Linked DNA regions of Oryzias latipes. The protein of the gene in region 1 purifies or fractionates together with the protein of each later gene. This does not show direct contact. Links are inferred from orthologs where the notes say so. Each region holds a gene or a part of one and is shown on either strand. Other genes may lie near its edges.

Evidence for each region.
Region 2: the proteins of ascc3 (region 1) and rps3 purify together in Homo sapiens (co-immunoprecipitation; 4 studies listed by BioGRID and IntAct, with this or other methods). This does not show direct contact. The link is inferred for Oryzias latipes from reciprocal best matches to the Homo sapiens genes ASCC3 and RPS3.

The regions. Positions count from the first base shown.
Region 1 is NC_019874.2:9,654,322-9,657,970, forward strand, and holds part of ascc3 (activating signal cointegrator 1 complex subunit 3), read right to left. Parts: intron 3,260-3,649; coding exon 3,109-3,259; intron 3,019-3,108; coding exon 2,812-3,018; intron 822-2,811; coding exon 646-821; intron 202-645; coding exon 78-201; 3' UTR 1-77. UniProt on the Homo sapiens protein: ATPase involved both in DNA repair and rescue of stalled ribosomes. 3'-5' DNA helicase involved in repair of alkylated DNA: promotes DNA unwinding to generate single-stranded substrate needed for ALKBH3, enabling ALKBH3 to process alkylated N3-methylcytosine (3mC) within double-stranded regions.
Region 2 is NC_019871.2:2,443,316-2,447,662, reverse strand, and holds the start of rps3 (40S ribosomal protein S3), read right to left. Parts: upstream 2,832-4,347; 5' UTR 2,749-2,831; coding exon 2,719-2,748; intron 1,870-2,718; coding exon 1,739-1,869; intron 1,595-1,738; coding exon 1,501-1,594; intron 1,323-1,500; exon of another isoform or gene 1,175-1,322; intron 1,097-1,174; coding exon 1,002-1,096; intron 1-1,001. Other genes in the region: ras-related protein ORAB-1-like, read right to left, coding at 4,146-4,347. UniProt on the Homo sapiens protein: Component of the small ribosomal subunit. The ribosome is a large ribonucleoprotein complex responsible for the synthesis of proteins in the cell. Has endonuclease activity and plays a role in repair of damaged DNA.

The DNA.
Region 1 (3,649 bases):
GGTGATCACACAAACACAATCAAGGACAGCAAAACACCCCTTTTGGGTGGTCCCCTGTGCTGAAACGAAGAGGTTGCTCAGTCCAACACCTCTGTATTGACCTGAGCTGCGATGCTGGCAGGTGTAACATTCAGGTGCAGGTCGTACTGTTGGTCCAGGCCCAGGTAGCTGTCACTCATCACATAAAGCGTGTAGATGTACCTGAGAACAGAGAGAAGATGCAGCATTGTCACATGATGAAGTCTACCCCTACGCTTAAAGCATCTAGAGCAGGGGTGACCACACTTTTTCGGCATGCAAGATATATATATATATACATTTTCTGTGAAATACTATACTACAAAATACACCCACAAAGATATGCACCATTTGCAAACACAAAAAAGTGGTTTTCCTGACAAATTAATTCAACCCCGTGTTGCAAAAATAAGTACACCCCAGTCAGTCTTAGGAGAAAAGCCAAATTTAAGACTTATAAAATTCAATTCTAACAGGCATTCAACCACAGGTGAGTCTAATGATTCATTTAAGGGGTGTCCAGCACACAGGTGACTATAAAAGAGCATTTCTTAAACAAAAACAAAAAACCCTTCCCATTTGCCTGCAGTGTTTGTGTGGGTCTGCTGTTGCTGCCCAGTACTTTACCTTCCAGGCTTCTCTGGTGTGTAAAAGGCCACAGATGCAACAGTTCGACTGCGCACATAACCAACTCGTTTGACAGCCAGCAGCTCTCTGCGATCCACCTCCCCCAGGACTAGAAACCAGCCCTCATCCTTCACCTTGGGAAAGCGAGGAGCCACAGCCTTTCCGTCCTGCTTTTTCTGCAAGGACAGACACAAATCACATAGAGGTATGAGTAAATTTATGGCATTATGAAACAATCCGTGTCATGTTCTTGTATCTTTTCCCCAGGATGTGTCAGGCCTATTTAATTAAAAGTCATATAGTTTTTAAAAATGCATTACCTTGAATTTTTTGTTAATATTTGGCTTTAAAGAGCCTAAATATGCAAAATCAGTGTCTTATAATGTTCATTCCTCACTAAGACAAGTCCAAAGCGGTTTTTTGATCCATTCATGCATTTCTGAGTGTTCTTCTAAAAACCTGCTCTCTTAGCACAAGCGCCTTCCAATCCACGAAAATGAGTGGGTCCTCAAACTGTGATGTCACAAAGTGAGGATGAGTCTGCAATACCAGCTCCGCCCACAGGCTAACACACACATCCACTTTGTCCGTGAAGGTAGCCAAAGGTAATATATGATCATATGTATGGCTATCGTTTACTCAGAAAGGTTTAAGAACAGCAGGATATAGTGGTCAAGGACACTTGCTGAGGAACCAAAATAATATTTCAGACCGTAGGAAGGGAGAGGGGGCTCTGTCTGTTTGTTTCTCCTTATCGAGGCATCTGCCAGTTTATGACTAGAGACAAAATATATATATATATATATATATATATATATATATATATATATATATATATATATATATATATATATATATATATATGAAAAATCATGAAAAACGCCAGAGGGGAGGGGTCAATCAGTCCAGTTCTTATCTACAGCCTACTACACATATTTCTGAGACTCCAATCTCATTAGCATGATCCAAACCTTCTCTAAAAACCCACACATACATGTCCAATGCAATAAAAAACCCGGATGATGTTTAGAGATCGGGTTTATTCATTTTGCAGATTTCTACAAAATCATCGGTAATCCTGTCTCCATGTCTGGATTCATGACATCACTCCCGCTGCAAGAGCTGCATCTGATCCTCAGCCACTTCCCATGTGTTTCCGTCTCTCTGTGACCCCGTTTGAAGGCTAACTGTCCCGCATTAATGCCAGAAGGGAGAAATAAAAACAAGAATAAAATTAGGGGACCCAGCAGGCTGCATCCTGCATGCCGCAGCTGCCTTCTTTCTTCCTGGGGGGCTGGTGTGGCGGACCCAATCGGTCCAGTCCCATGGGCCATGCAACAGACCGTCCAGGGTGTACCCGCCTTCACCCAACAGTAGCTGGGGGTGCGCTCCAGCAACCCTGTTGCCCCAAAAGGGAAACAGCAGGTTGAGAAAATGGCTGGAAGTTCAGGAGAACTATTGGATCGATCCACCATACATGATTTGTATTCTACCCGCTGATCGAGTCACTGAAAACGTCATGTTGAGTCCAACCTTTCTGCCCAAATCGCACGGCTACCAGACCGCCCAGCCATGCCCGTTGCTCAAATCACGCCACACAACCTCAGATTGCGTACGTACTATTGACTTAAAATTGGAGCTCTCTTGCCAAGTCACGTTTGGGGAGATCGCAGCATTAAAAGGTCACGCTCCGAAATCACAATTAATAATTTCTCCTCCGTGATCAAGTCAGTTGGTACTTCCGTGAATTAAAAGAGACGCCATCCATACGCCACTTCCGAATCCAAGCCCCTGATGGGTTAAAGTTCAACTGGTTTCACTTCCAACACGCAAACAGGTATGTTTGGTATGTGGAGCCCAAAAACGGTTGTAGAAACTTGTGTAGCAACACACAATCGCGAGAGTTTTGAACGCCGAAGCCCGAAGCGAGTATCTGCATGTTTCTATTGACTTCATTGGAAAGTAGTCTCTTAAACGTGCATTGCTGAGGTCGGTGTGAAGGTAGCTTCAGCGTTAGCCGGTTAGTGCGCAATCTTACAGTTGAATGAGAGCTGTAACAGCTCCCATGCAAACGCTCAGAGAAGGAGCAGAAGCTAACCGTGTCCACAGGGCTTCTGCTGAGACTGCAGAGGAGGTCAAAGGTGCTGGGGCACCAGGCACACTAACCTTCTGCTGGCCCACGGTTATCCGATGCAGGCACACCTGTAGGACGTATTCCTGGTCAGCATGGATGTCCAACCAGTTCCTATCCTCACGCAGATTCTTGCTGACTATGTGGACCGGGCGCTCCATCTGTTCCTGGTTCTCCTCCCACCAGCCCTTCACACTCATTCTGACCTCCAGCATGGGGAGGTGACTCAGGAAGGCCCATGTCTGTCAGGAGAAAGGTGAGGTTCTTAGAGCTGTGTGTTCATACCGGCCCTGTAAACTGAAGCAGACGTATTGAACAGTGAATAGTCTCACCTGTGCAGCCTGGCTGGAGTGGATCTCTGAGCTGACCATGGCCGTGAAAACACTTTCGTTTCCATTGCAAGCAGCGATCAATTCAGGAAGTCCCTGGATTGTTCCAGTGAAGCCCTCCTCCTCACCTCTTCTGTTCTTTTTTGTCCATTTCCTATAGAATTGTTTAGAAAAGGAGTTTGTAGAATGTTTTCCACTAAACAAAAATTATTTTTTTTGGCAGCCCCTCTCCAATACCGCCCCTCACTTCACCCTTACTAATCTTTCTTGCTTCCTATGTGGTGTAATTATAGAATTATAATGATTATAAAAGGAGATGAGGTTGAATTTTGTTTTAAAGATCTAATTTTGATGTTGTTAAAGCCTAAATGTGTTAATATCTAAATCTAAACATTAGGGGTGTGAAAATATTTTTTTTAATTAAACCTTTATTTACCCAGGAATTGTCCCATTGAGATTAAGAATCTCTTTTTCGAGGGAGTCCTAGCTAGGGGGGAAACAATAAACTACATTTACAATAAAAATGTCAACATTAAAAACATAA
Region 2 (4,347 bases), on another chromosome or scaffold:
TAAGTTGGCCACACCCACAACATGAGCATCATTCAGGGCTTTGTTGTTGGGATTGACACAAACTAACCAATTCATACAGGTCAATCCTTCAGACTTCCAACGTTTTGCTCTGTAATGTTTGTAGGAAGAGCAAAACAGAATTGTGACGAGCACAAACAGACACTTTGTGGCTTTTCTTATAGTTTTCACGAGCAGACGAGGTTAGAGTCCAGCCTGTTTGGTGTTTTTTTGCTTTTGTAGTTCTTAAAAATATTAGAACAAAGATCACAGAAAAGATTTGAACAAAGTTCACCTGTTTTTATTTTATGGAATGCAATAAGCTTCCATAGTAACGCCATCATGACCAGTTTTCCAAAAGTTCTGACTGGATTGTGCAGCGCTCAGCAGCTGTCGCTCACCGATCATGTGAGGTTCAACTTCTGAGGTTAGGTTAAACAATTTCAACTAGAATTTCAGCTTTAAGTGTTTTTTAAAATGTTTATAAACCCAAAATCTTTAAAATGTCATGACTTTTTCAAAACCTTACAAAAGACCTTTCAAGGGTTAGAAATTACATTTTTTAAATCCCAAAACTTTCCAGGTTGTTCATGACCTCAAAGACAGCTTGAGGAGAAAGCCAGAACACAACAGCACCACACCTGAAGTCTGAAACACCTCAGACTGCTAACAGACTCCCATAATGCAGTGCGGTTACAGGGCGCTTTTACAATTCTGTCTGATGTAACAGGATGATGTAAACCTGAAGACTCCACTTCCATCAAATGGAGTTTTGGAGAACACAAGCAGATGTTTGGAGCAGAAGCAGATGTGTCTTTTATTTTGAAGATCCAATTATGAAGTTTGCAGGCAAGATTTGAACCGCACTAATTTTTTTCACGGAAGCGTTTTGTTTATTCTTACTATAAATATACTTTTTAGTGCAGTTCTTTTTTCCCTCCATTCTCAAACAGGCTCTATGATGGTTTGTACTTTCAGAGAAGGTCATCAGCAGCACTGCTTACCTCCTCACAGCCAGACCTCCCAGCAGCTTGTAGCGCAGAGACTCAGCCTGAGCGATGGCGCACAGCCCACGAGTGGCAACTTTCTCAGCATAAAGCTAGAAAAAACAGAACAAGACGTCGCTGCATCTTCAGGTTTGCACAGAAACGACTTCAATGATGGTCCGTCCGTCCACCCTTCTCAGACAAATGCCTCTTGTCTTCCTGTTTAAAGGACTTCCTGATCTGAGGAACGGCAGCGGGTCCACAGAACGCAGACCCGAAGCAGAACTCACAGACCCAGATAAAGTCCTGCTCTGTCTCGTCATCGTATCATCACTGAAGGGGATCGGGTGGGAAAACAAACTACAGGAGTGACTTCAACAACGATCCTCAGTTATTTCAGCCGGAGGATCTGCCGATTACTTCTGCTAAAGACTTTCTATAATAATAACACTGTCTAACCCACTGATTAGGGATTACAAAAGTGAATCTAAACAGCAAATCCTGTAGGTTGTCTCACCTCCACGCTGCCCTCAGGAAAACCGAACCTCTTCTGGACCACAGCGGTCAGCTCTCTGATCCGACGACCCTTCTCTCCGAGAACATTCTGAGTCCTGAACAAGACGGAAACATTTAAGATCACGGGTGAGAAACTGCTGCGTTCTTTATTTAATAGCTAAGACAGTTGCCTCTGAACCTGACGCAGAGGCTCGGAGTGTAAAAGTCAAAATTGTTTTAAACATTGATCCAACACGCACCTTGTGGCCAGGATGATGATCTCGGTCCTGGTTGGAGTCACCCGCACCTCCACACCGGAGTAGCCATCTTCAGCCAGTTCGCGAGTCAGAAACTCATTCAGCTCGGCTTTGAAAATACCGTCTGAGACGAACTGTTTCAAGACACCAGAGGGAGGTTCTGCTCATTCATGGGAGTTTTGACAGACACGAAGTGCTCAGAAATGAAGAAGATAGCATCAGTTTATCAAAGTCATTCAAAGCCAGAATATTAGTAGACAGTGCAAATAAATGAGATCTTAAAGAAAATGTGCCTCTGCCATGTTATATAAAAAGGTACAGAAACTACCAACTGTGACCCTGAACCCAATAAATCTGAGAAAGAAAAGGCAAAATATATAAATGACAAACTAAGGTAAGCCTAAATTACCATCAATAGCCTGATATAAATGATGAAATCTGATTCTAGCAATCAGGCATTTGAAGTAAAAAAATATGGGCTAATTAAAGAGTCAGTAGTACTATTAACAAAAATGAGTTTTACCTAATTTCTGCTTGGCTTTAATGTATACCTAAACATGATGATGAATTTGTGGCTCCAAAAATAGTTATTTAATTCCCCTAATCTTTGTAGTGTATGAGTACATGTGGCTAACTGACTCGCATGCTAGCAAAGCTAACATAACAAATATTGTCGAAACAGATCAAATTCTTCTTTTTATTTGCAGACTCTGGTTTATCCGCCTGGAAACCAGCCGTCCTGACTTTACGGTGCGGGTTAGAACCTGTTCAGACCGCTCACCGGTCCAGTCCCCGGCTCACAGAGCCATGCTAGCTAACGAAATGAGGGAAGCCGCAGCTCCAGCATCTGCTATAATCCTCCTCGCAAGGAACCACAACGGGCCGGGTAAACACCGGGACTGAGGATTAAACGTCTTATCCTTTATAGAATGATGTTATTTTCGTGATATTCAGCGATGAAAGAGAAATATAGTCCCGCTAACCTTCCTCTTCTTAGAGATTTGCACCGCCATCTTCGAACGGGCCGTGGACAGGAAAGGACTCTGCCAGTAACCGGAAGTGAATTTATAGGAAATTGTCGTTTTCCGGTGACGCAATGTCCCAGCTTCTTCTGGAAAATGTAGTTTCGACAACAAATAAATAATCCTAAAGTGTATCCTGTATTTTATCAGCATTTAATAACTTTCAGCTGCACTTATTAACAATATTTTTACTGTTTCCATGTTTTTGAAAAATTATTTAAACACGCTGACATTTAACAAATAATTAATATTTGACCTAAGGTTGTTTTTGCTGTATTTTTTCTGCATTTATTTAAAATGCAAAACTACGCAAAGTCTGCATATTCCTTTTTGATATTTAAAATCAGTTTTGTGGACATCAATTACATATTAAAACAAAAATAGTTTTACTTGTTTTTTCTTAAAATGTTTTAAGCACTTTGCACCACTTTAATATAAAAAGGTGCTTTCTAAATAAAGTTGGATATGTTGTATATGCTGCCCTCAACAGAGAAGCCTGTATAGTTTTCTAGACATTTTTGTTATAACTTCTTTACAATAACGACACACAACACAATGCACAACAACTAACCTACGATTATATGTTTATAACCAAACACATTTTTGCACAAGTGCTACTTATTTTTTCCCCTGAATATTGATCCTTGCTTAGGTTAAAATAAAACTAAAATATTTTATTGATAAGAAAAATAGTGCTTTGATCATTTTTTTATTCTACATTTTTTTCGTACAATTCAGGCTGTTGATCTAACGAAAAAGGACAACACGTAGATTGAAAAATTTTCCTTTCAGTTGTTAAAAGTTGTTACATGTGGAGGTTTGGAGAAATTCCTGAAACTTGGTCCTAAAAGCTCCACTTCTATGACTTCCTTTTAACCTCATATCTTATGAAAGCCAAACATTTAACGTCATTTCAGATTGAGAACCTTAACCACGGTTCATTTCTCCAATAAAACAATACTTTATTACCTGTCTTTAACATATAACACCACAGTTTTTGTACAGTTTTTCTTAAGATCCTAATGATAGAGAGGGGTTTCTCCAGTTACCATCCAGCCACATTTTAACGATTTAATATCACAGATTTCAACTTTATTTTATTGATTTTAACAGCAAAAGAAGTAAAACACAAAAAAAAATTCTTCGGGCAAGGAAATACATCCTGGATAAAAAATGGTGATGACCGAGTCACTGATGACTAATTCAACATCTTTATGTTATTATCTTAAAAAATAAAACCCATAGTTTTTTATTTGGCTCAATTATTGTAGGATATATGTTTTCATCAAATATTAGTAACAAAATGAATTCACTGCAGATTTATTAATATTTTTTATCTTAAAGAGCAAATATATCAAAATATTCCTTTCGGTTTATCTGTCCACATCTCAACAGCAGTTCCTGGTATCCTGCGTTGGTTTATCCCCTCCTAGCCACACGGGGGCGCTGTTGATCTTGGAGCCCTGTGCTCTGGAATCATGGGTCCCCTGCATGCCTCCCCCCTCACTGGCCAGGCGACTGTGAATCTCAGAGGCCATGGTGAGGAAGGCCTTCTCCACATTGCCAGAGCTCTTGGCGCTGGTCTCCAGG